Lepisosteus oculatus: one gene and its partner. The protein of the gene in region 1 interacts with the protein of each later gene in a pairwise test. Links are inferred from orthologs where the notes say so. Each region holds a gene or a part of one and is shown on either strand. Other genes may lie near its edges. The genes, in order: serine/threonine-protein kinase 4 and sav1.

Region 1 (15,809 bases):
GTGGTGGTTTCCGATGTCGAGGGCAGCTCAGTGCCTGTTCAGTCAGTCAGTTTACACAGTTGGAAAGTGAAGCTTCTGTCTCCTGCCTGCAGCCCGCTACCAGGGCATGCTGTTGCAAGCTCCTGGCATGTGGAGAAGAGGCTCGGATGGATGCCTGCGCAAAGCCCTGCATGGCGGCTGACTAAACTTTCTGCAAGGCTGGGGCCTGGGGTGTTTTGTACTGGGAGAATGACTAGAGATTCAAACGCAATTAGTCTTTCCTGGGTCAGTACCTTGTGTCTGGGGATCTGTATATTTCATGTGCTTTGTGAGCTGCAGACCTTGGGCTGGTCAGGTGGAACTTGGCTCTAATCGCCTGTCTCTGCCAGGTGGAGGAGGCTGTGGCCGTGCTGCAGGCCCACCAGGCCAAGGATCTCTCCCCCAAGAAGTGACTGGCGCTCCTCAGGTACAACTCCAGGGCTGTGGAAAGGCTCCTCCAGAATAATCACAGCCCTGTGTGCACTCTGTAAGGAGCTTGGAGGATTGTACCTCTGACCTATAAGAATGTCATGCAGCATCATCAAAACTGTTAAAATGCCACTTTTCCGACTCCGAAAAGGGCTTAATTATTTTTCAGTGGTTTGGAAACGAGTTATGTTAAAAGTAGGATTAAGTGACCCTGAACATGTCGACGGGCAATCTGCCGATTTTAAGATTTGTATTGCTATGGGGGGGGAATGTGGCTTTTATGCACCGTTTCCCTGTACATCCCCACCCCCCTTCTGGAACGGAAGACGCTCTGTCTCTGTTCTGCTCCTGTCCCAGGGCCGCATCCTGAGGAGCTCTGCAGAGCCCCTTGGGTTTGGAGTGCTCTGCTGTCCACGATGCTAAATAAAAGGTGTATAAAACTCTTTTGTGTCGCAGGCAGCCACTACCATGGAAAAAGGTGCTTCGTTGAAGAAGGAAAAAGGAAAGAATTGTAAAATGACAATACTAGTCTTGCAAATTGCATTTGTTTAGTGAATGATGACTGGCAAAGTAACCTGTTGGAAAGAGAAGTTGAAGGAGCCAGTAGGCTGTTTGCAAGGGAAGGTTATGTTTATTCAACTTTTGTTATTTAAAAAAAAGATATACATGTTTGTAGTTGGTACTACATTTTGTTTTCTTTGTGCATGAAATAAAAAAAAAACCTTAAGTGGATCTGGAGTGATGTTTGATTCCCCGAGCTTCACGCTGGACCCGACTCGACCCCTGGACTGTACTGGACCCCACACTTGGGGCCACAGCCTGGCAGTCGGAGATGGCGGATACGCTTCTGTTCTTTGCCGTTCAATCTTGGCGAGGATTTGTGGGGTGGGCTGGGGGGTTGGTAGATTTGGGGAGCAGTGTAGTGCTCCTTGTGGTTGGTGTACATCTGCTTACACTGTACTGCTCTGAGAAACAGGAGAAGGGGCAGGACAATGTGACCCATGGGGATTGCAGGAGTGCAAAAGGCCATTCAAGCAGTTTCTGCAACACCACTGTTGGTTTAACCACAGTGTCTTGTGTGCAGTGAAGACTTCAGGTAAAATTGCTGGTTGCAATACCCAAGAGTTAACCCAAACAGCGCAAGAAATCGGCACAAGTCCCTGCTTTTACAAGACTCCTGCTCTTGTAAAAATACTCGTCACTTATTTGACCTTTTTATTTCCACAGTCCAATTTCCTTTTTTTAACTTGAAATAGCATTAGACTTCTCATAAACTGCATTTAAAGAGCATTTCTTAACATTGTCCATCTTTAACTACAGGTGTATGTGCCCAGGATTTCTGTGATTAAATGTACCCATATAGACTGGATATCTTTCCTACACAGGTCCTGTATATCTCCTATTCCAGCACTGAACAGTGCTTTTGTAAATGGTTAATTTTCTGAACACTGAAGCACTAATATTCAACTCTCTCATGTGCCATCACCTGCTAGACTTCTGGCCAACTTCCAGAAAAGGGAGATTGGTATTGCTTTGAAAACAAAAACCCTCAAACCCGTCTTCTCTAACTGTAGAGAACAGATTTTCAAATGTTTATAATCTTAAGAATTTACTATGGCACACCAAGAAAGAATAGAAAGTTTATAGTAAATAGTAAAACTGATGAAGTTGTGAAACATCCATGAGGAATGAAAATACCTTTCTGTAACAGTAACTCGTAAATGTTCTTAGACTGGACAGAATAGCTTCCTGCAACAAATGCATTTAAATTGTCCCAAGACCACCTTATTTTATCATCCATCCAGCCATACCTTTTGGTAAAAGAAAACATGCAACACTGTCTTTAAGAACATCAGGAACAGAAATGGTTTAGTACAAACCAGCTTTTTAATCATAGATATCCAGCTGAACAGGGAGCCATGCAAGCAGTGGCAGTTTTCAGAGGAGCTGCAACCAGCAGTTGATATCTGCAGTAGAAAACCACACTCCTTAGTTTTAAAGTATTTCTAACCTAATTCTCAAGCTTTCCATAAAGTAATAACAGATCAAGGTTTATCAAGATTTTTTACACCAAAGTTTTCAGGTTTCTTTATTTTCTATGCAAACAAAAAGACTTCATACTGTAGCTGATTACATATGGCTTTCAGTTTTTTTCAAAATAAAGTGCATTATTGCCCTTTTGGTGAAAAGTCCCTGATAAACCAGCCTCATAAACTAACGATTTGAAGCCTATGTACAAGACACTGATTCCTGACTAGAGTGGGAGTCGTACTGCGGCCTCGGACACGTCTCATCCGGGCTGTGGCGGCGATGTGCTCCTGCTGCTGCGTCACTTCGTCTTCTGCACCTCCTGCAGCAGCTTCTGAGCAGCCATGTTGCCTGGCTCGATCTTCAGTAAGGCGCTGAGGTCTCGAGTGCAGGCTTTGTAGTCCTGAAAGAGGGGAGAGAAAGGTCCGTCAGTGTGAAGAAATCACTCTGGAATAGACAAGGGAATTCAACCTTCATGCTTAGGCTTTGCTTTCTGTTACACTGCTTTGGAGTTCTGCTGTACATTCCGAGTGCATTAACTCAGAATTCCAATAAATGTTCTTTTTCTTTGATGTATAGGAATGTTAAAAATACATCAAAGTATTTTTGTGGACTTTACTCTCCTGCGAGAACTGCCTGATTTTTTTGGATCAGCGCACTCTCTTGGAACGTGTCGGCAAGACTAACGAGGTGTTTTCTGAAATTGCTTTTTGGTGATGAAGGTCATGAGGTCGCTGGGATTCTCACTTTCAGCTGCTTGTGGGCCTGAGCTCTTCTGTACAGCGCCTTGATGTTCTTGGAGTCCAGCCGCAGCGCCTCCCCGCAGTCCTGCACGGCCTCCTTGTGCATCTTCAGAGACAGGTAGCACAGCGCCCTGCGCAGAGGAGACAGAGACACGGGTTCAGGCAGACGTGAAGTGGCTCTTATTCCGACTGCCCACCTCGCTGGCGCAGTGCGGACCCCTACCTGTTCGTGTAGGTCGTGGCTTCCCTGGGGTTGAGCTTGAGGCTCTCGGAGTATTTCTCCGCAGCTTTCCTGTGCTCCCCCTTCTTCACCAGCGCGTTGCCCTCCTCCTTCAGCGCCAGTGCCAGCTTCTCGGCCGCGACGCCTGCAGGCAGGACAGCGCATCAGGCAGCGTGCCGGCTCTGCTCCCGAGACCCCACAGGTGCCCTGTGGCACGCCGCTCTCTTCCCGCAAGGACAGGGACTCGGGACCAACACATGGCCGCCAGCCGGAGCAGACAGGCTGAGCGGCCTTTGCATACTGCACACCCCAGCTCCCCTCGTGTCTTTCACAGAGCAGGCTAATACTTCATGGCCTCTCACTTGTGTCTTGACTGAGCACGTCAGTGTGGCGCAGCCGGACCCCGAGTCTCTTACCTGGGCTGCTGACGCCGTTCCGCTGCCCCGGGGGCACAGGGGCAGCGGCCTGCGCCAGACTCTCGCGCACCGACAGGGGGACGGCAGGGATCGGGGGCAGCTTCTCTCTCCAGCTGGGACCATCCTGCTCCTGAAGCACCTTTGTCATTCTGTGCCAAAGAGCAAGAGGACAAAGCTGAACAGACGCATCTGTGCATCCGGTCCGGAACAAGCCCTGTGGATCCGGGGACAGGCGCCTGCAGCGTGGCCCCCGTGCTGGAGTACCTGTTGGTGCCGTCGTGCGCCGCGGGGATGCTGCAGTCCACCTGCAGGACGGTCTTGTAGTCCACGTAGGCGAGCCGGTACCTCTCCAGCGCCTCATAGGCGGCCGCGCGTCTCAGCAGCGGCTTGATGGCGAAGGGGACCAGGCTGAGAGAGCTGGAGGCCGGGAGAGGGGAGAGTGAGGGGCTGGGCGGCAGGCAGCTGGCTGTGTGTGTGTGTGTGTGTGTGTGTGTGTGTGTGACTGTGAGACGGGAGGCACAGTCGCAGGTGTGCTCACGTGGTGCAGTCCTTCACACACTGTGTGTGTGTGTGTGTGTGTGTGTGTGTGTGAGTGAGAGTGTGTGTGTGAGTGAGAGTGTGTGTTGAAGAGTGAGACGGGAGGCACGGTCGCAGGTGTGCTCACGTGGTGCAGTCCTTCACACACTCTGTGCAGTTCCCATCCTTCAGGTAGCTGGCGGCTCTGTTGGAGTACAGGATGCTGAGCTCCTCTGTGCTGCTCTGGCCTGCAGCACAAACAGCAAGTTCACCGCAGTGCAGAGCACCCTACCCCCCAGGAGCCACAGCCTCCCTGGCTGCAGGCCACTGGAGACGAGCCGCCTGCAGCAGTCTGACCCACTGAGACCAGCTGGGCTGCCAGCAGCACGTGTCTGGGGCTGTACATACATACTAAACCTATAGTCATAACAGAAACTACTACATCTCACAGGAACCCCAGAAACAGGTCTTACAGGTAACTGTTAAATTTCTAAAGACCTGGGGCAACTGAACTCTGGTTTATCTGAGCTCAGTTAAACAGGACGGGTGGTCAATTAGGTAATAGATACCAATCGCAACAAAAATCAGAATATCCTTTAGCCCCAAGGATCAGTGTTTCCTTCTCGGAAACGCTGCCGGCCCAATAGGTGCTCCTGATTTTTGAATAGGGGGCGATTTGTCCTGGCCTGTAAGAGTAACTGAACTGGGGCTCCGGCTCTGTATTATGAGAGTGGGACAAGACTTAACTAGGTCAGCAGCTCATCTTGTGCTAACGACATCGAGCGCTTTCGTGCAGATTTAAAGCTGTGACATCGGGTCATATTCCCGGTGTCATTTAGCTCCGGACCCTCGTTTTCACGCCGGGAAATGATCGGGCGGCCCTGTTACCGGCAGGGAGACAGCCTTTGCACTTCTAGAAACCTCCATCTAGGCCAGAGGAGCAGTTAATGGTCCCGGAAAGACTCCCCGCAAGTCCAGCGCCACGGGCGCAGAGACGGGCCGCCGATTCAAACCTGTGGCGCGACGGGACCCTCACCTGACCTCTCCTGGAGCTGGATGGCCCGGGAGTAGAGGGAGGCCGCCTCGCCGTACTGCCCGCTCCTGAAGCAGTCGTTGCCGGCTTGTTTCAGCTGCGCTACGGACGGCGAGGAGCGCCTCTTCTGGGGCATGGCGTCCAAACCGAGCCGGGTCGCCTGCGCCGCTGCAACACAGCGCCCGGTTACGTCAGTGCCGCGCCGGCTCGGACGGGCAGTAAAGCCAAAGAAGGACAAAGAGGAAGCCTTACCAGAAACAGCCTGCTAATGTCGAGCCGGGACGAGCCGCTTGTTTGAGGCTCTGTGCGTGCTGCTCTGCGGGATGAGGGGTCAGCGGGTCGGCCTGTCTTCCCTGGTGGGCAAAACGGGCAACTCCAGACGGACCCGAGATAGCGCACAATATCTGCCCTCAGCTCTGCAGCACAGCCCGGCCACGCTGCTGCCCTGCTCCGTGTGCTGACACCCCGGCACAGCTGGCCTGCTTTCTGCCGGTGTAATATTTCAGTTTCGTTTCTTCCGTAGTTTGGAGATCTGGCCAAGTTTCCCACTACACGCACAGCGTGAGCAACCGGCTCTCTTCCGCCACACCGTGGCCTCTTAAAAAATGAAGTTGATCAATGATGCCCCTTCCTAAAAGCATCAAGTATTTTACGGATTATTTCGTAAATCTGTTTTGTAAACGGAAAAAAATCTAAACTGCAATTACTGGATGCACAGTCCAAGCATTTAGCATTGGATATACTTTCTAATGTTATAAATTACTCAATAAGACCGCTCCGAGTTACAGTTCCATATTAAAATTCCAATTATAAACTCATGCTGTGCTACTGCGTCCTGACTCCTCTTTGAATGCCGGAAAATAATCTCATGTGCATTTTTAGCACATTCAAAATTAGGGCAGAACGAGCTGACGATGAATCGTAAACGCGCAGACTCCTGTATCCCTAGGTGTAAAATAAACATGCTGACTGCCCGGCGCTGGTGCTGTTTGTGCCTCTTCAGCCACCGTACTCAAGCGCTTGTGGGTGCGGTTTGTCCCTCGCTGGGCTCCGTAGCTTCATCCAGTCTTCTTCGTGTTCGGTGAAGGTCGTGTCTTCGTCAGGTGAGTTCAGAATTAAAACGTTTGGTTAAATTATTTATAAAATTATGCAATTTATAAAGACTCAAGCCCTTAAATGTAAACTGAGCTGATTTTCATGTCGTTAATCCTGTTTTTGCCTTTCTGGTTTTACGGAAGGAGCCCGGTAGGTCACCGTAACATCCGTAAAAACCGGTAGAATAATGATAATGTAATCTCGGAACATGGGTTTAATGAAATACGAAAGCATGCCTATTGAAAATACCGTCTAATGTTTTCTTCTTAAACTAATGAAAGATTATTTACACGCAGTTATGTCGAAATCTAGGCTTTTTCATTGCCTTCTTCCTGAAGTGAAAACGACTTGCTTCCTTCTGTGATATAAATACAAACGGAGTTTCGTCATAAAACACTCGGGTTCCTTGAAAGATTTTTACCTTCTTACTGAAGCTGCTTTTCTCCACAAACACAGAAATGCGTAGTTTTAAATGCGCGAAAGTGACTGTATCCCTGAAGTGTCCGTGTGAAATGACGCTTGCTGCAAGTGGTTCGGAAGTCAAAAAAGAAAGGAGATTTAGCGAGACCCGAAAAGTAATAACTTTTTAGTATCTGAGTTCATAAACCAATGAGAAGTTTTATGAAGTTCAGAAAGAGATGCAGGTAAAACTCAGAATATTAGTGTAGCAGTGAACTGTGCTAATGTGTCCAGTTCTGCCCAGCAGGCCACCCTGTGGCTCGTCTCTCCAGGTCGGAGGTGATCTAGAGAGGGCAGGGCCCTGGGGCATCTGAACACTGGGCCCCAGCTGCGAAAGTCTCTAAAGCCTCACTGATTTCATGAGAAAATACCGGTGTGCAACAGAGTACGGAATAAATCTGTTTATAGTGGATACGAGTGGTTAGAGAACGAGGGAGGTTCTTGCAGTTTCACATTTCGTGTAGCTCTTATTCTTGACAACATGAGCTGTGAAAGGAGCCAGTTGCTAATCGACTGAGCGCTCCGTGTGTGTGATGACATGTTGTGCCAGTGATGGTCTGTGATTGCCAGATATCCCACAATGCCGGCCGGAGCCCTGCCCAAGCCCGTCATGCGCGGCCTCCTCGCCAGGCGCCTGCGGTTCCACCTGCCCATCGCCTTCATCTTGGCCCTGTCCACCGCCGCAGTCTTCAAGGTGAGAGCGGGGCGGCCTGCCTGCCCTGCTGTGGGATTCGGGGCCCTGGCCCCTCGAGGACCTGGGCCTGCTCGACTTGCATGTGCTCAGTTGTTGAAATCTGTAGCACGGGAGACAAGGTTATTCTCTTAAGTATTTGTGGCCTGTCCTGCCTATACAGCAACGGCGTCAAAGGAAGGAATTCAATGTCGGTAGCGAATGAGCTCTTCTTTTTATTAGCCTGGGCCTTGGATTGTGTCTCTAATAAGGCCTGAAGTGATGTTCTTGGCTGCAGTAAAGAACACGAATTACAAGTGAGAAGAGGCCACTCATCCCATCAATCTCAATTGGGCATGTATAGCTCATTAATAGAAAGGTCTGGTCATTCCTGCATAGATTCAGGGTTATTGAACAGCAATATGACTGGTCAGCTCGTCCAGACTCCCACATCCCTTTGTGTGTGAGAGTGAGCCCTGTTCTCAGTTTTCCAATCCATTTCCCTACAGTTTCCACCGTTAGATTTCCAGTTAGATTAGTGTATACATGCGGTCACCAAGTTATAAAACCTTTGCTGCAGTCAGTCCAGAGAAGTAGAGATGCAGTTACAGGCTAGAAAAATGTTCTGCTCTGATAAGGTAAAGGAACTAAATCTTAGTCCCAAACAGTGGACTGAAGGAGATATTCAAAGTCTTCAAAGATGGGACCTCTTCAGAATCAACAGCAAAACAAACCAGGGCAAAGGATATTAATTCAAAACGGAGAACATGACACTTTGTCAGAGGCCCTGGGACTAATGAGAACAAAATGAACTAGGTGTCTTCCCCATTTTGCAAACTTTGTTTTTGTGCTTTTGATTCAATGCTGTTGATTTAAACCCAGACAGAGTGTGTAGGGTGTAGCCAAGAAATCACACCTGAATTATGAGGACTGTTGTTTTTCTTTCCTTTTGTGGATGTATACATGATACATGACTGATTCTCCTTAAAGTGACAAGTTTCTCTCTCGACAGTTCACAGTAGCAGATCCCAGGAAACGGGCGTATGCAGATTTCTATAAGCGATATGACGCTATGAAGGAGTTCGAGGCGATGAGGGAAGCTGGTGTGTTTGAGAGCGTCAGGCCTTCAGGCAAATAAGCAGAAGTGAGTTTCTACTGTGATTGTTCTTGCTGCAGCAGTCTGATGCCCTACCTTGCTGTCACAGAGTGTGGTCTCGTTGCTGGAGTGGTATGCTTCTTGGCAATGTGAGTTATTGCACAAGGTCCTAGCAGTTAGGAAGATGTGCTTGTGGCACCAGAGCTGTGACTGGACCTGGTCAGTGTGGCCCATTAACCACTTCCTGCTCCTCTTCCAGGTCAAGCCTGCTGTCCCCTCTGGGTCAGAATTCCCTGCACCTTGGCGATCCTGTGATGATTCGTTGATGTCGACTGTACTGTCACCTCTGAGCTCGGGTTCTGTGTGTGCCCTTACACAATATAATAAACTGTTTCTTTAAACACAGTTGTGAGGTTTGGGATTTTGTTCTACATTTTACTTTGGACATATGCAACATCAGACTGACTCCACTTCAGGCATATTTACACAGACATTAATCTCATTAATTTATCTGATCGAACCAGAAATTGAATGTTCCCAGTAAAGTCACGTCCTCTTATCCATAATGGAGCTGTTAACAGCCAGTCTCATTAAAGGAGGATGGAGATCTGACTGCAACAGCAGTGCTGTTCCCATCGATAGCATTAGAGCCGTTTCTAAGGTCCACTGACTGAAGGCTGCAGAATACCCCTTCTCCCAGGAGTGAGATTATCTTTGTCGGTGCCCTTTTTTGGCATCTTTAGCACAGACTGGATCACAAGAACAAGAAAACAGAGGGTGTGTTGGAGGCCTGTCTGGAGCCACACGAGAGTCTGCTGGTCCCTGAGGCTACCGACACGCAGAATGGAAACCCCTCTGTGGTTTTACTGTTTAACTCTGCGGGTGTTGGTCCCAGTAGTTAGTTGGGCTGTATGGAAGGACTCTGTAGGACCAGGAGAACTTGTTTCTGAACTTGTTTCTTGTGGTACATCATGACTTGGGTTCCAACTTGCTACGGAGTTCTGCTGGCACTGATAATGTACAATTAAGATTAAGAGACTTGAAATGATTGGCTGAAGTAAGAGATGCTTTTCAGTAGTGCAGTCTGTGTATTGTTTTGTTTGGGCAAAGCCTGACAAATACATTGTATAACGTTTTCTGCAAAATAATTCAAGACAGTGCACTTCTCTGTGATACTAAGTACAGCTGTAACCTTGTAAGGTACGAGCTGGCAAGCAGAGCATCTTGCTTTCAGCAACAGAATCTTTAGTCAAGTCATTTAAGATTCTTCCACACCTCGTGGCTTCGCGGTATTACTGGCGACCATCCGCTAATGGGCGCGCTGCACACGAGTCAGGTGTTGCAGCCCTCAGCCCCGGGACCAGCGCCCCCTACCCGCCCCACTGCGGCGGTGCGGCTGTGTCCTGTCCCCAGACGGCCCGCCCCACGCCTGCCGAGCACCCGTGGGCAGGTTTCCTGTCTCAGCTGTCAGGCAGGCGGAAGGACGGAGAAAGAAAGAGTTCAGACTCGGGCGAGAAACTGCAGGGGAACTGAGCGAGCAAGTGAGTGGGAGACGGGGGACGTCGAGCCAGCCGGTGACACAAGCCGAGAGCGGAGCTGCAGCTGGGAGATGGAGCTTAAAAGCGCTTAAAAGCAGCTGTCGGGGGCTTTATTGTGTGTTTTTTTTGCAGCCGGGGCTGGAGGGAAGCGCCGCGCGGCTTGCGAGACAATAGCGAGCCGCCGCGAGGGAAGCCGGTGCCCCGAGCCTCGCGCGCCGCCTGACGGGCTCGGCTCATCCGCGCTCCGTGTGCGCGGCGGGTGAAGCAGCACGAGGGCGGAAGGAGCGCAGAGCCCGGCCACCATGGAGACGGTGCAGCTCCGGCAGCACCCGCGCAGGTAGGCGCTCACACCCGTAGGGGGGCACAGGCCCTGTCGGGGCAAAGCTGCCCAGTATCGGGCTGCCCACCGCGCCCGTTCCTGCCTGAAAGGATGGCCAGGTGCTTGCTTTTCTAGAAATGGGAACTCCCGCTGCGCCGGGACTCTCCATGGGGAAACGGACGATGTTGGCCTTTTCGTTAGTTCAACGGCGATGGGCATTTAAAAGAGCGATTAACTCGTGTTGTTGCTGGATTTAGACGAAAAGTCTTGTTTCAGAACAGCCGAAGGCATCTTTGCCTCCCCTGTCTGGAAGTGCGTTAGTCACAGCAGCTGCGCTTGTGTCTCGGCAGAAATACGGAAACTGACATCCGCAGCAGCTGGAGTCTTCTTCTGGTTTGTGTACCTTATAGGACCGGTCTGTCACCGAGTGTGATGGAGCGGGTTGAAGTGTAAACTCGTGTGTGAAAACTGTGCGGTTTCAGTCCGAGGTCCGCGCAGGAGACGTGACTGAATTTGACTGTTGTTAGCGGTATGAGGGCATGTGTTGTCCCCAACACGGAAGCGCAACAAACTTTTTTTAAAGCAGGAAATGCAGTGAGCTGTCAGAAGTAAACCAGATGAAGCCTCGAGTCTCGCTGGAAGGCAGTTCAGCTAGTCTCTAACCCTGGTCCTAGACAGCCATCACCTTCTATAATCTGCACCGGTCCCGTTTTTATCAGTTCAACCAGTGAATTGTTAAATGAATTCAGAAATGATTGGAAACAAAAATCAAAATACCAATCAGCATCCAAAGATGCTGCCAGATTCCTATACCCTTTGCTGAGCACGTTACTTGCTTAATTGATCAATGATCTGTGTGTATTCCTTTAAAAGAAGTGAGATTTAAGGTGGCCTGTAAGACGTATATTAGACATGTACTATGTTGTACTGTATAGTAGTTGATTCCAAAAACTGAGTGATCAAAAGTTGAAAGAAAACTTGTTCTATTGCGGAAACTCTCTTAATTTTGTCCTTCAAGGTAAAATTGACAGAATACAGATTGGACTGGGGTCTCTAGAACCAGGGTTGGAGAGCCCTGCTGTAAGACAGTCTAGAGACCCACCTGTTTGTAACAGAAATCATGCACAAGCACACTGGCTCCATCTGGCTCAATCTCAAATAACACAAAGCCCCATCAGCCTGGACTCTTTCAGTATCAATACTACATAAACAGTTTTGATGGGAGCAAAGCTGTGCGCTCTGTGCTCACAAGCTGTAGCCCTGCAGGTCTTTGGCTCCCCACTGTATGGTACGTGACCTGGGTGTTTCTGTTTTAATGGCCGGCATCGTGTCAGGAGTCAGCAGGAGTGTTCTGGGAACACTGGCACGGTGACAAGCAGCCAGGGTTCCTCTGCACTGACTGTACCTGAAGATTGTCCCCCAGATTCTGGTTGTGCCCTTTAGCCTGGGACACAGGCAGTCGAGGGATGTCGCAGTAGCCTGGTGTTAGAATTGCAGAAGTAGTCCTTCTGCTGTGAAAATGTATCGCTGTACACGTTCTTCCCGTTCGTGTGCCTGCTGTAAATTAACCGTTTGTGCGCTGTCAGACTTCAAATTTAAATGGAGAAAAAGGGAATGTTATTTTTTGCTGTTTCTGTTGCATGGAGCTACAGAACATGTCTGTCTTTGTGTCCGGATCTTAGAGAGGGGTCAGGAATGCTTTAAAGGAGTTTTCTGCTGTTCTGTCTTTAAAAGTTGGGGTATGTCTTTCCATCATTTTGTATAACAGAAAAATGGCTGTAGGAATGAGTAACAGAGTAAATTGAGTAAGAAATGGACGACCATGATGGCTTAGACAGTACAGATTACCAGTAATCTCACTCAAGATGTTGATGTGCAGACCAGCTCTGCGTGTTACGCTGTTGTGAAATTGAACCGGCCGCAGATTTGAGAGAAATGTTTCTGAAACTCCTGGTTTAAACCAGGGCAGGAATTTTTTGTAGCTTCCTCTTTAATGTGAAGGGCTTTTGACTTATGCCAGAGTTTCTCTGCTCTCCTGGGTGGTTGAGACACGTCGGTCTCGAGGTTGGAGTCGTTGTGCTTGAAGAGGAAATTAGGAAATGATGTGGGATGCCTTTTGCTTAGTGGGGTGTCCGGTGTGTTTAGGAACCAATCGGTTTCTCTTAAGTTCTGCTTCAGGGAAAGACAAACTCAAGGCCCCCCAGTCCGATCTGTTGCGATCTGGTGGCACAAGCCTCTCTTTGTGTGTTTGCATGGTTCTTAGTATGTTGATTACAGAAGGAAAGGAGCTCTGGCTGTGCTGAAGAGCTGCCCGGGAATCTTTTGCAGAGACTTCAGTTGGTTAAAGATGCTCAGACCACCAGGTGCCTTATGTTGCTGCCGATCTGTGAAAAGCACTGTGTATAGGTCATCCCCTAATTTCCGAAAGGTCACCTTGGATAAATCGTGCTAAGTGGAGTAATTGGGAGACCTCTGCTCTGTTTGGCCCACTGGCAGATTAAGGGTTATGGAAGTGGAGACTGAAAGCAGGCCCCTTGCCATCACCAGCACTGGGAAATGCTCGCTGTCTGCCTCTGCTCTGGCGAGGGTGCCGAGAGCTGCTGGCTCCTGTGGGCGGCGGGGAGCGCGGCTGGCTGTCCCGGGCCAGTCCCTGCTTGCACTCCTGCACTGGAATGCTCCGCACGCGCCGACGGGCTCCGGCTCCCGGACGCTCTCCCCCTCGTCTCTCCCCCCCCCCCACCTCAGCTCTCTGCATGCTGCAGCAAGGCTGTCAGAGCTGAGTCAGCCTCTGGGGTTCGACAGGGAGATCAAAGATAGGAAGTGATCAAAATACATAAAGGGGATTTTAAAAAGTGTAAAAAGTATATAACCGGGGGTTTTTAAATGCTGTTGAATACCTGAAAGAGAAAATGCTATAAACCACTTCAAAATGTTTGTTTTCTCTGAGACAGACATTGAGGTGCTTGGGGTCCTCTAGCTCCTTGGGGGGAGACCGCAGCGCAGTGCTGTCCTGTGCTCCCACCCCTCCCCAGGCGTCATACCCCGGAAAGACAAGCGGCTGTCGGAGTCCCACCAGTCTGCAGGACAGGACAGGAGTTTAGCCCTTTCCCGCAGGAGACGGCCTTGTCTTCTCCCCTCATCTTCTGCCTTATCGGTGACACAGGGGTGTGGTCTGCGCCAGGGGCTGGGCCCCTCCACGCATTGTGCAATGAGGATGAGCCTGTCTTATCAGCCCTGCCCACTCTGTGCTGTGGCAGGGATCCTGGGGGCAGCCGTTGGCCTTGTGCTATCAGGGCCCTCCAGCCCCAGCAGAAGCGTCAGCTTCCTCGATTGCCATGAAGGCTTTCCATTGAGATTGCCTCGCAGCTTTCCGAGAACAGTGCCTGGGGAGTTCTCAGGCAGCGGTGCTCTGTACAGAGTGTAGAGCCTTGAATGTGTCTGTTGAATGCTCTGCTGTGCCTCAGAAAGTTTCACAGACCTGGGGAAGTTACTGCCCTGGGTAATCACAGACAGGGGATAAAGCTGCTTTGGGCTGTTCTGAAATGAGACTTTCCATTTAAATCCAGCAACAAGAAGAGTTAACTCACTCGCTCTTTTAAATGCCCATCACCGGTGAACTAACCGTTCGTCTGTTCCCCCCCCCCCCTGGAGATTTCCAGTTCTGCGAAAGACACAAAAAAGGAGTTCAATGAATTCTAGTCCTGGGGTCCCTAAATGCAGTCATCTAGGTTCTCCAATCCAGTAGATTTTGTAAATCCCTTTATGTCATCAGCACCCTAAAACACGAGGAGTGACAAAATGAAATGAGTGTGGCAGCTGAAGGTCTGAAGGGAATGGTTTCTCATTTTCTCTTGAAATTCTTAACAGGCTGCCTCCAGTATATTTGTAAGAGTACAGTTTACAGTCGCATGATAGCTGCTGGAGATCTAGTCGCACTGTAGCGGGCGACACTGTAATCTGCCTGTGTGTTGGCACGCAAGGAGAGAGGGCATGAACAGAACAGAGCAAACCTGGTTTCTTGAGATGCTAAGATGGTGCCACCCAGCTGAAGGCCTGCAGTAGAGTAGTCAAATAATTACACTCATCTCAGATCGCTGTTGTTGATCTTCCAAACTCATTGATTGGCAGCTGCATTGCTGTATTCGGTCAGCTCTGTTTGCTTAATATTAAGCTTTGTAACCCCTTTGAGTTGGTAGGACGAGCATATGTTTAAACGCAACACAGCTTGAAATGCTGTAAAGATAACTGATCACTTTGAAGGAAACTTTGTCATCAAAAGCAGAAGCAACCCAACAATTGAGACAAAGCAAATGCAGGTGGAAAAGAGCTGTGCACCATAGCAGATGAATAGAAAGATTTCAAAGGACTACGTGTGAGGGAAGCCCATGGGGGGAAAAAGACAAATGGTCCTTTTAATCACTACTTAAAAAAGAGATTACTATAATCCTCACATAAACTATGAAACCTTGAAAACTGAAAAGGTGGGACCTTCTCTCACACCAGCAATGCCAGAGCCCATTGCTCTTCCCTGTCTTTTTTGTACCTTGTGCTGTATTGCTTTTGTGTCACTACATACTGTAGTAGAGATTATTGTACATTATTGTATCTTCTTGAGTTCTGCTGCATTAACCAGTATTCTGTATAAATGTCTCTGCATGATGTATTTTTAGCATATTGTCTTTTCATTGTTTGTTCATTGTACTGTATGTTGCCTTGGGCCTGGCATCAGCTAAATGATTTTGTTTTGTATATGCCAGTTATATTTAATGCTATTAGTTTGTGTGTAAGCTGTGGGGATTCCTGAAAAAAGGCACCCCCACAGCTCTCTGACTCTTTCCTCTGCAGGCAGTTCAAGAGGCTGAGTGAAGACAGTTTAACCAAACAGCCAGAGGAAGTGTTTGACATCCTGGAGAAGCTGGGAGAGGGGTAAGCACCATGTGGCTGTTTACTGGTATCCAGCCCTGTTACCCCTTTTCACACAAGATCTCCACCCCCTTGGCATAAAGGGTGGCCTTCTGCTGAGTGTCTGTGTCAGGCCCTGCAGACTGTGCGAGACTGAGGTTCTGAGTGCAGTTTTCTTTGATTCTTTTTCTGGTGCGACCACAGGTGAGAGAAAGCAGTTGTAAGGCAGAGCAGTCCAGCCTATAGAGTGTAGTTTATTTAGCATTCTAAGTTTTCCACACTGGGTGCCTCTTCCAACTGTGACCAATCTGTCGTTAATTCTGCTGA
Region 2 (16,200 bases), on another chromosome or scaffold:
AAGAAAGAAAACAACGTTTTGGCCGTGGAGCCTTCTTCAGGTGTGTGAACACACACCTTTTTTTCCCCAGCATGGAATAAACCTATTACTTATTCATTAGAATTAGTTGTGTTGAGCCGATTTCATCCTTATACACTATGTTTTGAAATGATGTGATGCACTCATACATTTTTTTCTGCTCGTAACCTCAGTGTGTCAATTGCTGAGAAGATGAATCTAGATTCTCACCCCACTCTCATTCTGAAAGACTCAAGCCCTTCAAAATGATAAATGTAAACGACTGATGTTTCAGCTTTGTTTTGCATCAAAATATATGAGCGGAATTATGCTGCATAAACTGCCAAGTGTAACCAGGAATTCAAATGATTTGCATCAGCTGCTGGAAATTATATAAACATTTATAGTTTAAAAGAACTGTTTTCCCACAACTTCAGAGGAGATTCAGTATCTCCTTAATATGTTATGTTCTGGACATTGGTTTACTTAAAAAACTGACTACAATTTACTGCTCTCTCTCAATTTTATTATCCCCTAATTTGGAACACAAATTCCAACATGCTGAGAGAAACCATCAAACTGAATATGAAAGAGGGGCAATTTCAAAATTAGCTAACCCATATTAGCCCAAATGTTTTTTTTTTGTTTCAAAAGATAATAATTTTGGCAAAATTTCAAAATAGTTTTTAGCTGTAAATAAACCTTTCTGGGTGGAGCACAAGGCTGAACTGAATTGCCCTAAACCATAAACCAAACATTAATAGCGAGCAATAGGTCACATTTAGCATTTTTCCCTCTGCAGTTCCTGTCTTCATTGTGTTACAAGGAAGGCATGTTGTGATTTACCCTATGGCCATGCTAGATTAGCAAAGGCTGATCTACATAAACGTTCAATAAATTACATAAGATACATGGATATTTCACAGCCTTGATGAGTTTTCCAGAATCACTGGCATCACATCTTAAACCACAATCTTCCAACACATTGGCAGCACCAGACTGATAAATTCTGCATCTGAATGAAAACTCCCGGCTCCAGCTGATAAACACCTGAAATGTTAGACAGATCCACTGAAAAGTGTCCTCCTCAACATTAATTTTGTGCATTAAATATAAAGGGGGAGAATTTGTTAAAGGCATTTCATAATCTTAAGTGACTCATTAAGATTATACAAATTTATACTAAACTAATTCTATAGCTGCAGATGATTACAATGCTGAAGCAGTAATGAATGGATTACATTTATGATAGTACTGAAATCCAGCATTTTTCAATAACAGGAAAAGATTCTATCTATTGTATAAAGTTTCACAACCTTCTAAGGAGATGTTTTCAAAAGGAGTCTCTCTATAATAAAGAATAAGGAGCAAAAAATGAAAATCTCTGGGATAAAAGAGGAGCTTCTTGAGAACATATAACATTTGTTCTAATAGCTTTATTGGTCTTCTTCCTAAATAGTGATATTTCCAAACCAGATGACTACAATAAAGTAAAAACAAGTTCACTGTCGCCATATAGATGTTATTGAAGTGTTACAGAAAATCGCTTATATAAATCTAGTTCAAAGTCTGAATACTTGCAGAAACTCCTTCAAAACTTAGTGCCGGCCACAACATGAAAAGAGGACAACGAAATTCAGCAGAACTGTGGTCAAAGGTAACACTGCACACAGCAAAGCACACCCTTTAATCCCAATGTATTCCTAAAGTATTCCCCATCCCCACCTACATCTGCTTTAATCAATCATTTCTACTAATCCATTCATAAACTGTTACTCGGAAGGTAATAATATACTTGCAGGTTATTCTCACAACGTTCTCAACTTTAATTCTTAATTTTATAACACATTAAAACACATTCTTAATTTTTTAGTTAAGGAAAGAAAAATATACGCCTAGGTCTACATGTTTTTAGGGAAAATGTGAATACTTTGTGATATTCACCAACAAAACTGTCACTGCTATTTAGCTCTATGTAAATTCTTAGTTTGTCACAATATCCCCTTTCTTTGTATGCAGTAATCGTAAGAATTAATTAATGGATATTAATTTTAGGGTATAATACATAGTCACTGCTTGACATTTTTGGCCTTCCCAGTTGATACATGAACATTAAGGAATTAGAAAAATATTTATTTCCTCACAACAAGGCCAACGATGATTCCTGAGGATAATTTGTGATTAATGTGGGCTTCATCAATTTATCATCTACTTGCTTAGAGCTAATCCAAGGCTCAAAATTATAAGACAAGTTGTAAATTTCCTGAGAAAAGTAATCTAATAGTTCAAACACATCAAACAGCTCATGAAATGGAAACTCTTGCTCTTCTTTTCAGTAACACTTCATAATGTATCAAAAACTTACTTGAATTTCTGTTGGATGACTGAATACAGTAACTTCAAGTAAACTGAACATCAGAGAAATCGGTTTCAAAGTCTTCAGACACTGGACTGTTTAAGCTAATTATATTGTGAGACTCAAAGGGAGTTTAAAGTGGGATACTCCAGTCTAGAGTCATGATGAGTCTTGTTAAAATAAACATGCAAGTTTATAAAAATGGTAACACCGCCTTCCATCACCATCTTAGAAATAACCTGTATTTAAATATTGTTGTAAACTCCCAGTAAACACTCTAGAAATACAGGAAAGGCGGCACCATTGTGTACAACATCTTGTATTGTTAGGAATGTAAGCAATACTACCTGCCACTAAGTGGTAATTACTGTAATAAAAATCTGATACTTGGAACACAACGGACATTGTGAGATTATCAGAGGTTACACTCAACCTGTGTACAAAGATTAAATAGAAGTCTAGACAGGTAATAAGGCATAAAGAAGACCAAGAAACAAACAAACAGCACACAAGGCTTACATTTTCTGCATTATATTGTAATTTAAAAATAAAAAAAAACAGCTCCAGGACTGCTGCAGGCCAAAGCTGGTTCATTATGTATCAAAATACATCTCGGCTTAAAAAATGGAAACTAAAAGGATAAGAAAGCCCCCACTAGAGTGGCAGAAGAAAACCACAGTCTTCATGGCTGGAATAACCAGCATTCCAACAGCCTTCAAAGCCGCCTATATCATCCCCTTCTCTTACAGTAAATTGAATGTCTCAGTGTTCTGGAGAACCAAATTACATGTGTAGAGTTAAGTTTCAAAAACAAAGTTCAAGTGCATCACAGCTGAAAACTGTGTCGATAAAAAGATGTGATACAGTGCACCCTTACTGAATAGATCTACACTTGGCTTATAAGAGACATGGCTATTATTCCATTATTTGTACAAGTTTGAATTAGTCAGCATAACCACTATGCTTTTCGTATCTGTCTAAGGGATATTGCTGGGTATTTACACATCTCAGTGTATACACTCCTGTAAGCACAGTATCCAACCTAAATGTATTTTTGAAACACAGATCTAATTTGTATTACTATGTAAATTAATATTTACAATAAGAAGCTGTCAATTTTTAAAAGTCAGCTCCACCTTTCTAAAACCAGGTAGGAAGTAAAACCTATACTTTAATAATTGTACATATACTGTATACAGTGTGCTATACATAAAATTGAAAATAATACTAATACGACAACATTCCATGTCTATTGGAACTTAAGTTTCTAGACACTGAATGCCTGATAAAACAATCTAAAATGAGATTTAGTGCTACTTTTTTACATTTTTGAGTGCATCTAAAGTATTTGCAGAATTAAGAACATAAATTGTGGCTGGATTGAGATCTAGCCTTGACTAGTAACAGTCTTGACTCCCAACAGCCACAGTGAGAACCAACTTTCTCCTCACGTGAGCAAACCATTTCTGGCCTTGATTTGCCAAATTCAACCCATATTCTTCACACTGAAAAAGGAAACAATGTAAAAACATGCATTAAGTGCAACACAAGACCATGCTGTTACACCTCTGTGGCTTTATGGATTATACACAACAAGCGACACTGACAGCTAAACCAGTGACCATGTCTCGGAGCCAAGGACAGAACAGGAAAGAGGGAACGCTATTGAACTCACCAGCATGTCTGCCTTGGGGCTGCGAGGGTGGCAGTACTCTTTGGAAGTGGTCGCTATTGTGTTCATAGTATCTATAGTCCTCGTGAAACCGGTCTGGCACGTGTCGCCGCCGCTGGCCATCGTAATAGGGGTCAGGAGAATAGAAATAGCGGGCAGCGCCACCGGCGTCGCCATTCTCTGCCATCGGGGTGGCCTCGGTGAGGAAGGACTGCGAGGACCCGCCGTACTCCCGCGGAAGGTCTCCCAGGCTGCGGGGAAGGTAGGGCGGCGCCGACAGGCGGTTGCTCTCGCGCCTGGCAATCTCGTGGGGCGGCCTCTGCACCGGCCCGCGCAGGAAGCTCTTGTTCCGGGAGACCACTGGCTCGCCCGGCCCCACGGGATACCCTGCGGGACCCTGCTCCGGCAGAGGGATCTCGGCGCGTCTGGGAATGGTAGGCCCATGTCTTATAAATGAGGGCATCAAATCTGGAGGAGTGAAGAGGAGAGGGACCCCGCTGGTCAATGGCAACAAACCGCATGACCGCAAACTGGACTACACGAAGTGCCATCAGGCCTTTTGCTTGATCGTCAAACAGTTCAGTTCCTATGGTTTTCTTTCAGAAGCAAGTGCAGTACCGGACTCGCTCAGCTGACTCGAAGAGAAAGCACAAACACACAGGGACAACTCCCTGAGACAATATCTCACAGCAGCGACTTCACAAACCAGGGCATACTCGGAGCTGGTAATAAAGCCGGCCGGTTATTTTTTAGTCTCCATCAGAGAGCGTTTCTAAAAAACACATGCTTCTTAAAATACAATTTATTCAAACACCGATGTAAAACCGCATTTCTGAAGAACAACTGAGCTCAACCAAGTCTTGTTTTGTGTTCCACTTTTGCTAAAACACCAGATCATACAAGACTGTAACACATGGTAATCAGCGATGGGACAGTTCCAAATTGTACATTTAATGCATTTACTTCCCCGCCTCTAGTACCAGACTCAAAACACTTATGATGGCCCTTATAAAAATACACCAAACAAACAAAGTAAGAATTCCAGCTGGTCGAGTAAAGCAATTTCCTAGTCAAATTGTTTTGCTCATCTTTCGCCAACAGTGCATATTTTGCAAAACAAATCACCTGCCACTGGCTCAACAAACCAGTTACATAAATATAGCGGAATTTCCAGGAAAACAGTTTCTTTTTTAAGCCTGACTATTCCTCTTGTTCAGTAAGCCGAATGTAGTTTTTTAAAGAAAGCATTCAGCTAATGTAAAAAAAAAATAATTTCACAGATATTAAAGGGAGACTGTAAAGAAACTAGCATTAACATAATCTGACATCTGAGGAAATGACACATTACATGTCTTGTGAGAGCCACTTATGATTATTATAATAAGGGTTATTATTGAGTATGTACTTCAAATATTCATTTTTACACTTTTAACAAAAACACCAAGAAGGTAATTAAAAAATACACATGTGAAGCACCAACATGCTAACGGACAGTTCGATAACAATAAAAAATGTTCTAAGAAGAACTCAGTCAGTCCATTGAATACAGATATCTGCTACAGGAAGTCAAAACTTTTACTGATCTCTAGGTAAGAAACACATTGAGACATTTTAGACTAATAGGCTATGTGAGCTCACCTTTTCATATTCTTAGATTGCTCTGTGCAATGTGTAAGAAAGAAAAGTTATTGGTAATTTACTGAAATGCAGGAAAAAGGTTGTTCTAGGTAAAAAATTGTAACATGCTGCTTCTCACTGTGTGTGAAGTGTTTGTAGCCTTCACAGTCATTAGAGTAAAAGTGACTTTGATATGCTACAACATTAAAAGAAAACTCGAAGAATGTTCACAGCTTTCATCTCCCAGCTGGTTCTACCCACTAAGCAAGATCATGTAACCTGAGAGTGGAGCTGAAGTGTAAGCAAGCCTTGATCTTTAACACTGACCCTAAGCATACAAACAAAAATGACACCTTAAATCATTATTTTAAAACAAAACGAATAGCCTATTTAAAAAAAAAAAGTCAATGCATTTTTTTCCCACAAATCCTAAAAAGTGACCAATTAAATGGAGATGGGGGTGGGAGGGGAGTTACCCTTAACGACTTGTGAATTGCAGCAAATAAAATAAATCTGAAGATTTTAATCCTGGCAGCAGTTAGCAAGGGAGAAAAATATCTGATAAACTGAAATACGTTAAAAAAGTTTCTATTCGCAGCACTGTACCCACATCTTCAAATTAAAGGAATGTATAAAGTGAATGAGAAAATAGCCAACTGTGACGGGGTTTGAATAGTTTCGGCAGGGCACAGTGAGGACCTTGTGTTTTTTTTAAACCGTGAACTGTGGCTCTCGCATCCAAACGCAACCACTCCCATCCCATCTTTTATAACATCGGGAATGCACAACGCTAATGCTGTTCAATACATTAGACGTTAGACTCGTAGAAAGAGCAGGGACATTTCGAATTAAGAATAACATAAGCAGTGCATATTGGTATATGCAAGTTAGATAACTTTTTTAGCAATGTAAACACTTGCATCTGAGGACTGCAGGAAAACGAGAGAATTTAATTCTCCCCCCATTTTGAAGCTCAACTTACTTCTCAAGAGGGGGGACGTCTCCTTTTTTACGTATTTTCCGTGTACCTCGGCTGGTTTCGACGCTTCGTTTTTACTTTTCTTTCGGGAAAGCATAACTCGAACTGCGAGGGAGACATCAATGCGACGAAACAACTTCGGTGCGCCTCAGGAAATCGAGAAGACCGCGGCACAGGAGCTGGAGCAGAGGAAGAGGCATTTTCATTTTTCACTCGGGGCAGAGGCAGCCTGGGCTTCGACGTAAATCCATTTGTTAGTGCCAAAACAAATCGGCAGACTAAACGGGCTTATGAGAAGTTTGAGCCCGCGAGGAAAAAAAAAACAGTTTTTTTTCAAACCAGAAAAAACATATCGCGTTGCATTTCAGTTAATATTCATAATTTGCCCCCGAAAACCACTTTTACTTGGTTTCCCCTCAGCCTGTTGCTCCTATCCTATTCCCACTCCTCTCCACTCAACATATAAACTTCCCTGCTTCTCAGGGGTTTTTTTTTCCAACACGCAAAGGGTTCTGGGATAGGTGACGCATTCGCCTGAGCTCTGTGGTTAAGGTGATGGGACTGCCTGAGCTCTGAGGCGTTGTGAGGCTGGTGGAGCTGGTTCCTATGGAAACTCCACAGCACGGAGTCAAGAGTTGCTGGAACCGTGCAGGACATAGCTGATGCTCCCTCTGATTTAAAACTATTTCTTGATTAATAATTCGTTGAGAATTTGCAACCGTTACTTGACAGCTAATTGGTTTCTTACAGGTACCCAAAACTCGGTTTGCTAAGCCTGCTATTGGGAACCTTGTGGAGGTCCTTTGGCACATATAAAGTAAAAAAGACAACAGTGCTTTCGGAATATTAATAATTCTTAGGATAGCCACTTCCACAGTGAAAAACTGTGGTTTACCTACAAATTATTGTCAGATCAGAAACGCAGTTCAAATCAAAAGATGAAATGGCACACATCATTCCTTGTTCAACGATTGGGTGTTTATGGCAGCACATTTTATAACTTTCATAGTGGAAATTAATTTTTTCCATTACCACTTCAGTTGGAATTAGTGTTATTCCTCTGAAATCAATAGATTTCTGTAAAGATAAATATATAAGTAACAGAAAACGCAATGTTTCAGCTGTGGAGCCTTCTTCAGGTGACACACATCCGAAATGTTGTGTTTCCTTTCTTTTCAGCATGGAATAAGCTCGTTACCTGTTCCTGTATATATAAGTGTTTACCCTGCCTTGTGCCTGCTGCTTGCTGAGACAGATTCCAGCTCCCATGAAACCCTGAACTGGAAGAAGCAGTTAAAAAGTGGGTGGATATATACTTTTAAATATAGTGTTCTATGGTTCTATCATCTTAGACCTTTGCCCATGGAGCCCAACTAAACAGTATTAAAAGAGCCAGCTTTTGGAAGGATGATTCAAAATTGGTAGCAACTGTGTAATTCTTAGAGTCTTGGAGTTGGGGACTTCATTCCACAGTGGATCAATAAAAACAGGTGATCACATGTGACCAATATGATAGGAATCAATACCTACCAATAAAAAATAAAGTGCTTCTGATGAATACTCTGTTTCTTAGTGCAATATAATTATGATATTGCTGTTGAAGCATCAATTAGTGACAGTGCTTCCACCATACAGTGCTACAGTCCTTGATAATACATTGCTTTTTCAGGTGATTTTTACCCCAGGCTGGTGTGATTTCAATACATGAAATGGTAGGATTTATTAAGGCTAAAGAATTAAGCTGATTTTGACATATAGTATCTGGAAAAGGAGTGGTGAAGGTATTTAGAATATGCAAGTGATCCCACAATATGTGCTAGCTTCCAGTTATTTCCTGGTATGTTGTATGCTCATAAATTATACCAATATCAATGGCAAAGTATGTGTTTCTATTTTTTATTCTTCTTTGTTTTTTAGATTAAAATATTTGCCAGTGACACAAGCAGGGAAGAATTTATCAAGGTATTTTTCAGAAATGTGTCCAAGATCTGGGGTGCTATTGAACATATTATTTTCTGTAGCAAACTTTATACAGTCAACCAATGCCTGATGCATATGATCCCTTTTTTATATTTCAGTGTGTCTGATAGATTTAATTTTTAAAACTGGTAGAAACTCTTTTCTCATGGCTTACCTCACAATATTGTTTTGAGCCCACTGTATTTTATGAATGGTACTTGCCATCTCAGTGTACGTGGGTTTGGGTGGTAGCTGATGATGAAAATACACATAATAAATGTGCATAACTGTAGCAACTCTGCCCAGAGTGTAGCATGCCTACATTTCAAGAGCCAGGGAAAATCAGACTTCATTCCAAGCTGAAACAAATTCCACTTTTTCAGATGATGAATTTATGAAGACTTGTTGCAAAATATGTATAGCTACTAAGTCTTTTACATTAACATAAATACACTGTACATTAGTTATATTTTATTTTATTTTTGGCAAGCTAGTACTAATTCTGTTATATATTATCCAGATGTGCTCTGTATCCAGACATTGAGATGGAACATCTGGTTTGATTATATGTTGTGTGGCAAAAGAAAAGCTTGTTAATTTTGAACATTCTTTTCTTTCCAATGACTCATAGCATTAAGTTGTGGATTCATGGTAAATCCTGTTTTAAATGTTGTCTCTGTGACCATAGAGATGAATCAGTCTTGCATGAGATCCAAATTTCACAACTGGATTCTTAAATGGGGTACTACATTCCTCTCTTTTATTAAATAAATCATTTTGGCCCTTAGTTGAATATACAATGAACTTCCCCCAGTTTATAGAGTATATCTAAGTATTTGTTCCGATGTGTGAGCTTGACCTATTCACAGCATGCACTCATCATATTTGGTGAAGTAAACTAAATGATCAAAACACAAAGTTAGAACTTTTTACAATGTCATCATAAGTAATCTTTTAATTACCTGCAGGGCTTATTTACATAGGACAATAACATGGAGTCACATTTGTAATTTTTTCTTTTTCCAATAGTTACCTGTCTCTGGACCTGACTCTTTTATGCAGTTAAAATGAGCCATTTAGAAGGTGGATTGATTTTGCTTTGTTTGGATTGGTTTAGTTTTGCTTTTTAGCATCCCGCCAAATCAACATGAACTAATGATTTGCTCTAGTGGTTGAATCAGCATCCATAAAACATTCTGTGACATGTCTAGGATTTTCCCAATTATACTGTATTCATCTAACTTGCTTGGAATAGCCAATATCTTTGTCTTTTTCATAGATTATATATAAATGCTGTCCAGAGCTTGTTTTAAAGGAGAACTGCAGTCCCAATTTCTCAGACCATTTATTAAATCCCGGTAACAAAATTAATTAATTGATGGTATTGCAAAATTTGACAAATTCCAAATTAATCACAAATTCCAGAAACGTACTGTATGCTCACCTTGTTGTCGCAAACCGCTGGTCTCGCTGCCGCCGGGAGTGAGAGTTCTTGTGAATTGTGATGTGAAGCAGCCCCTTCCTGCTCGCTAGTCACTGTAGTGACTAATGTAGTGTGATGTATAAGTGAATAAGAACAGGTTGTGCAGCACACATTTTACAGTAGAAATGTTCCAGTGTGGCCTCTGTGCAGAGTTAACAAGTACTGTAAGTAGTATTCGTAGGCAAAACTGACTCGGAGTTGAGAGCAATATTTTTCATGTATTAGGTATTCACAAGCCTGCTTTTTTAGAATGTAATAAGACCGCTTCACATTAGCAGAAGTTTTTGCCTTGTTCTGAATTGCAGGATTGACCCTGTGCAATCCTGGAAATCTAATTTACTTTGTGTTGGAAATTGGAGGTTTTTACAAGTTACTGTGTACATTGTACAAATGCACTCATCCACGCCGACTTTTTCTAAACATAATAATAGCATTGCAGTTCCTCTTCAAGCAATACTGCATTCAAATACAAGGTGAAAAGCAAGCCATTGCACCTTGAAGCTTGAGTTTCTATGTGAACTGTACGACATTGCTACTAGAGGTTGAATCGATCCACACAGATCAACAGCTGTTGATACGGGTCTGTTCAAAACGTCTGAGTGAAGTGAGCACACAGAGCAGAGATAAACCGCCGTCGCGGAAGGACTCAGGGGACACACGGCACATTGTTTTGGGCTTGGGAACAGAGACCCTCCCCTCTGCTGTGCTACACCCCTTCCTCCCCACCACCCGCCAACATCCAGATAACGAGACGAGCGCACTTGCCTCTGAGCACAGAGGATGCAGGGATGACAGATGGGGACTCAAATTCTTGTTTTCCCTAAAGATCACGCTCTGAACTGCACATTTCCTTCAGCGGGACAAGACAAACCCCGCCAGAGGAACAGCATGAATCCAGTTTTGCTACCAGGCCTCTTAGACATTAAAGCAGAGGCGTAGCCACGGGTCGTGCTCAAGTCCACTGAATATTTAAAGGCACGGTAAAAGCTCCGTGAAGTTCGCCCCCTACAGACAGCACAAACGATGAAACCCACCTCATTCGTTAGTGCTACGTTTCTGCCAGTTTGTGCCATTAAAAGTAGCGTCTGTGCTGTTTTCGTTCCCGAGATACAACGCCTTGTTTTTCCGGGGATCATGTGACCATGCACGGTGACTTTGACCTCCAGTGATCCCGTCTGCCGAGTTCAAGCGCTGTTACAGTTTAGCTCGTACCCTTAACATTTTATAGACAACCAATATCCATAAACATATGAGCCTCATTAGATATGAATAATACTAAGACATGACACATGCCAACAAGTTAACCATCTATGACATAAACCTATGGTTGTAATGTATGTAAAATCACCGTGATTGTTAGATCTATGGTTTTTATTTTCTATGGCACGTTTTCCTTTCTTTCCCTACCGTGACACGCTGTTGCCAAACGCGTAACTGTGGGATACCATAGTGACAAGATTTCCGCAGCATGTCATGATAGGGACCCTATGTATATCGCATGTAAATCGCGGCAGTGTATATCACGACTGGCGCCTTGCTTCCATGCCACCCTGGACCATATCAGGACATGATATAGCCAGATACTACATCCCGAGATATATGGACTTTGTGTCACAACATGGGGTCAGCATATCCTGTCAGGGTATGTCCTATAGCAACATATTGTAACGCTTACGGCCGACAAGCACTGTGTGTAAGAGCCGGCGTACCAGAGCGGGTGACGTCACCGCCCTTCCCTGTGATAGCAGGCTGTGGAGAGATTTCTCTTTAGCTCACGGGGCTAGGTCGCTGCAGAGAGACGCGGAAGTCCCGGGTTCGAGCCTCCAGTCGGGATGGGGCCGACCAGATGAGGCAAGGGCGCCCGCCTGAGCCCCCGTTGCGTTACAATATAGATTCCATGTCGTGATATGGGAGCGGGACATTTTGTTGGGGTATGTCATATCGCGATATACTCGCTTCATGTCACGACATGGGCGTGGTAATTTTTTGTCATATCGCAATATATGGACTCCATGTCGCGACATGGTGGGTGGGCATTTTGGCTGGGCATGTCATATCGCGATATATGGGCTTCATGTCGCGACATGGGGGCGGGGCACTTTTGCCGGGACATGTCATATCGCGATATGCGGACTCCATGTCGCGACATGGTGGGTGGGCGTTTTGGCTAGGCATGTCATATCGCGATATATGGGCTTCATGTCGCGACATGGGGGTGGGGCACTTTTGCCGGGGCATGTCATATCGCGATATGCGGACTCCATGTCGCGACATGGTGGGTGGGCGTTTTGGCTGGGCATGTCATATCGCGATATGCGGGCTTCATGTCGCGACATGGGGGGGGGGGGCACTTTTGCCGGGTTATGTCATATCGCAATATGCGGGCTTCATGTCGCGACATGGGGCCGAGGCGTTTTCTCGGTGTATGTCATATTGCGATAAATGGACTTAATGTCGCAACAGTGGCGCCTTGACAGCGCCTTGATATTGATCCACCAGTCGCAAGGGGTATTGCGATGTGACTGTGGTGCGCGCACTCCTATCGTGACATGCTATCGGAGTCGTGAACGCGCTGTGGATGCCATGACATTCTTTGTCTGCTATTCAGTTTTGACCTCAGTGCGACTTCTCTTAGTTTGATCAGTAATTGGAAACCAGTGGATGTGTTACTGTATATCAAGCGTGCTCATACAGCACACAGAGAACACACAGAACTTCCGCTGTGGCGCTTTACCCAATCAGAGTGTCGATTCTCACTCTCACTCCCAATCGGAGCCCGAGCTGTTCGGGGGTTTAGCCAATCACGGGTCTGAGAGCTGTTCAAGCTAGCAGCGCCGGGTGGATCGGCTTGTTTACTGTCAATGAGAATCTATTTTTAAAATGCTTTACTTATCGGCTTTTTTAACGTCTTTATTGATTCACAATGTCCCGTACTCTTCGAAATAAATACATTTTTATTTGCAATATAAATGTCTCCGCTGCTTTCTGTAATGGATACATGGTGTTTGAACAATTTTAATCGTATATTTAAGGTAGGGGAAACACCTTCCGCTTTGTACTTCAAAAATGAATAGAAATGTAAAGTATATGATAATAATATTATTATGCTCGTGCTTTCAATTTTGTTTTTTATTGTTAAATTATATCGATCTTGAAACTAATACCCAAAAATGTAAATATGGGCTCTCGTGTTGTACCAGCGGTAATTTGGAAATTAGTGTCTCTTCACCAATGAAAGGAGTACGCAAGCAATACATTTTCGAGAACCCAATGAACTAACATAGTAACTCCTCCCTAAATGTAAAACTGTTTATTCGTGTAAAGGCTGCAAAGTCTGGGGTCAACTGATCAAAAGATCACAACTGAAAGATCTGGTAGTCGTGACTTTGCTATTTTGTACGTCACAGAGTGACGTCACAGCCTGGAAAAGAAGGCGCTATATTGAAATATATTGAAACATCCACCCCAGCCGACCAGACAGACTCGGAAAACATATTTTGTGTTTTGTTGCCCCAATTGTTTTCATCACAATCAGGAACAAAGTACCGAGTTTGTTGGTACCTGTAAACTTCCTTGTAGATAGTCAAGTGATTACCCGAAGGCACGAACGCAACACCGATTGAGACCAGTCCGGTTTCCCTGCGACGTTGTAGGGGGCTGAGAGATGCCACAACCCCCCTCAAAAAAAGGTTCTATATATCGGGGGGAAAAAGCAGCACAAACACTGCTTTCAACTGCACAAACCGGCACAAACGTAGCACTAACGAACGAGGTGGGTTTGCAGGGGGGGCAACTTCACGGAGCTCTAGGTAAACATTGCATGGTATTTTAAATACAATATTTCGGACGGATTTTGAATCTTGCATTCTGCGTTCTGTTCATTGTGTTTTGTAGTAAAATATTAACTACAGAGTAACTCGTAAAACTACTGAACAATTTAAAAATAGTCATTCGAAATACTTAGAACTGTTACTTGCAACAAGTGAAAATGAGCTCTTGCAGATTTTCTTTAGCTAAAGACAAAGTCCTCATATGAGAGGCCTTTGCAAACTATCTGTCGTTTATCTGGAGTTTGCCGACTCTCTAGAGTCTAGACAGTAACCAGATTTTCGCCATATTCAATTCCAAGCCCCGACGCTGGTGTCACATGTGGTCCTCTGTTCAAGGAAAGGAAACTCAACCACCCTACAGTACATGCACAGAAATATTTTAATGTACTGCAGGTGAAACAGGAGGTGCTATACTTTTCTCTTTCTCTTTTCATGTGGTCCCATTCTCAGTAGGTTTCATATAGCCTTACATGTACAGAAGCACTTGGATATAGTACATTTTTAAAAAAAATTCTTCAATAATTTTATGCAATAGTTTACTCAACAAATAAATATGAAAATAAAGGCCTAAAGGCTGCAGTGCACCTTTTCTGTGCGACATGTAGTGCGACTACAATAATACCAATTACTTCAGTTAGCAACAATACACCCTTCATTCAATTTGTTTTCAGCTTCACTTTAAATGGCCAACTGACAGCCATCTAAATATAATACTATATAACATTCCCTCCTTCTGTTCTTTACTCAGCAGCAAAACTCACTTCACCAGGAAAACTGTTCCCAGATCATTCTTACATCCACGTAACCAACTGACAGATCAATAGGGAGACGCTGGAGACTTTCCTCTTGAAACGCATGTGAAGATCGCAATACCAGATCCGAAACCAAGCTAATTGTGTATGAAACAGTCATGATCACTACCATACTCCATGGATCTCAGATGTTCAGAAGACACGTTAAAATGTTGAGGAAGTATCATCAACACAGCCTGGTGAAAATCTTTAAAAACAGATGACAGATGAACTAACGCTCCTGTTCTCTTACAAACTCAACAAGCAAGAGGTGGTGGTTATCCAACATTAGCTTCACCGAGCCGGCCACATTGTCTCCTTACTCCCCAAACAAACCTCCTCTTTTTTGGTCAGTCATGGCACATGCTCAAGAGGAGGAGAGAAAAAGCATTTTAAAAGATGTCTTCAAGGCCAACATGAAGAAGAGCAACACTAACACCAACTCATGGGAGACTACTGCCCATGACCACCTGAGCTGGAGGACGTCTGCTGCCATGATCTCAGCCTTATGATGACAACAGGAGGTGGATAGGCATGAATCGCACAAACAGCAGGCGAACCCCTAAATGTCAACAGAGCCCGGCGTCATCTGGAGAAGCACAGATAAAAACGATCATGGATTACAATCATCCTTAACAGTGAGGAATGCCAATAGCTGTTTTTATTACAGCTAGATGAAGACCTTATCAAAGTGCGTACTTCATCAGTATTTCTTCAGCATGACTTTTCACTGTAGATACTGAATTCAAGAGGTATGTCAAAAAAATTGCTGAAGCATTGCCATTGCAAAAAAGTATTGAGGTCTTTCAGAGTTATGCAACTGTTAAAAAGAATGTTTGCAAATATTTCAATAAATCTTTATAAGGTATCAGGCTATCTGGAAACTTAATTTGGCTTTAGAGGAATAGGTTTTGAAACAGGAATTCTTTCAAACAAGAAGATGACTATTTGGAGAAAGATGCTGGATACAGCTAATCAGGAACTGCAGGCATTGGATTCAAGTTAGAAACAGAGCTGAGGAAGAGATTCAGACTGACTATAGGTATCAGTTCCTCTTCACCTCTCTCTTTCAACCCCTTACAACTGAGTTACTCTGGTCAAATCAGCTCTGGCAGCAATAACCATAAATCCTCAATTTAAAGTGACTGTGAAATAGCAGCTATTATCAACACTTACAGTACATCCCAATACCTTTTAAGGCGAGTCCACAAATCTAGGTGATTTTGATGGTGGGTTGGTTACACATAGTAAATATATAAGAACAGGATCTCCTGTTTGTTCTTATTGACTGTGTATAAAATACTGTATTTTATACACATTGTCTGAAATTATTATTCTAGGACTGATGTTTCTGCCTTATCACTGAAAGCAGTAAATAGCAGATACAGTATGGAATGCTAACAAACTCTACTCCTTCTTACGCATTGGTGTTAACTTCCTTTTTATGTCTGGAGATGGTCATATAAAACTGTTTTGCTGACATTACTGACAGATTTTAATTTATAGCAGCTTAAAA

The links.
Region 2: the proteins of serine/threonine-protein kinase 4 (region 1) and sav1 interact in binary tests that used the Homo sapiens proteins (3 or more experiments, as listed by UniProt). The link is inferred for Lepisosteus oculatus from reciprocal best matches to the Homo sapiens genes STK4 and SAV1.

The regions. Positions count from the first base shown.
Region 1 is NC_090711.1:427,272-443,080, reverse strand, and holds the start of serine/threonine-protein kinase 4, read left to right. Parts: upstream 1-10,120; 5' UTR 10,121-10,264; intron 10,265-10,393; 5' UTR 10,394-10,563; coding exon 10,564-10,598; intron 10,599-15,425; coding exon 15,426-15,506; intron 15,507-15,809. Other genes in the region: pabpc1l (polyadenylate-binding protein 1-like), read left to right, coding at 369-431; tomm34 (mitochondrial import receptor subunit TOM34), read right to left, coding at 2,777-2,878, 3,223-3,349, 3,442-3,583, 3,855-4,003, 4,119-4,271, 4,519-4,618, 5,407-5,539; cox6c (cytochrome c oxidase subunit 6C), read left to right, coding at 7,538-7,651, 8,640-8,765. UniProt on the Homo sapiens protein: Stress-activated, pro-apoptotic kinase which, following caspase-cleavage, enters the nucleus and induces chromatin condensation followed by internucleosomal DNA fragmentation.
Region 2 is NC_090703.1:13,043,305-13,059,504, forward strand, and holds the start of sav1 (protein salvador homolog 1), read right to left. Parts: upstream 7,134-16,200; 5' UTR 6,719-7,133; coding exon 6,625-6,718; intron 4,494-6,624; coding exon 4,029-4,493; intron 1-4,028. UniProt on the Homo sapiens protein: Regulator of STK3/MST2 and STK4/MST1 in the Hippo signaling pathway which plays a pivotal role in organ size control and tumor suppression by restricting proliferation and promoting apoptosis.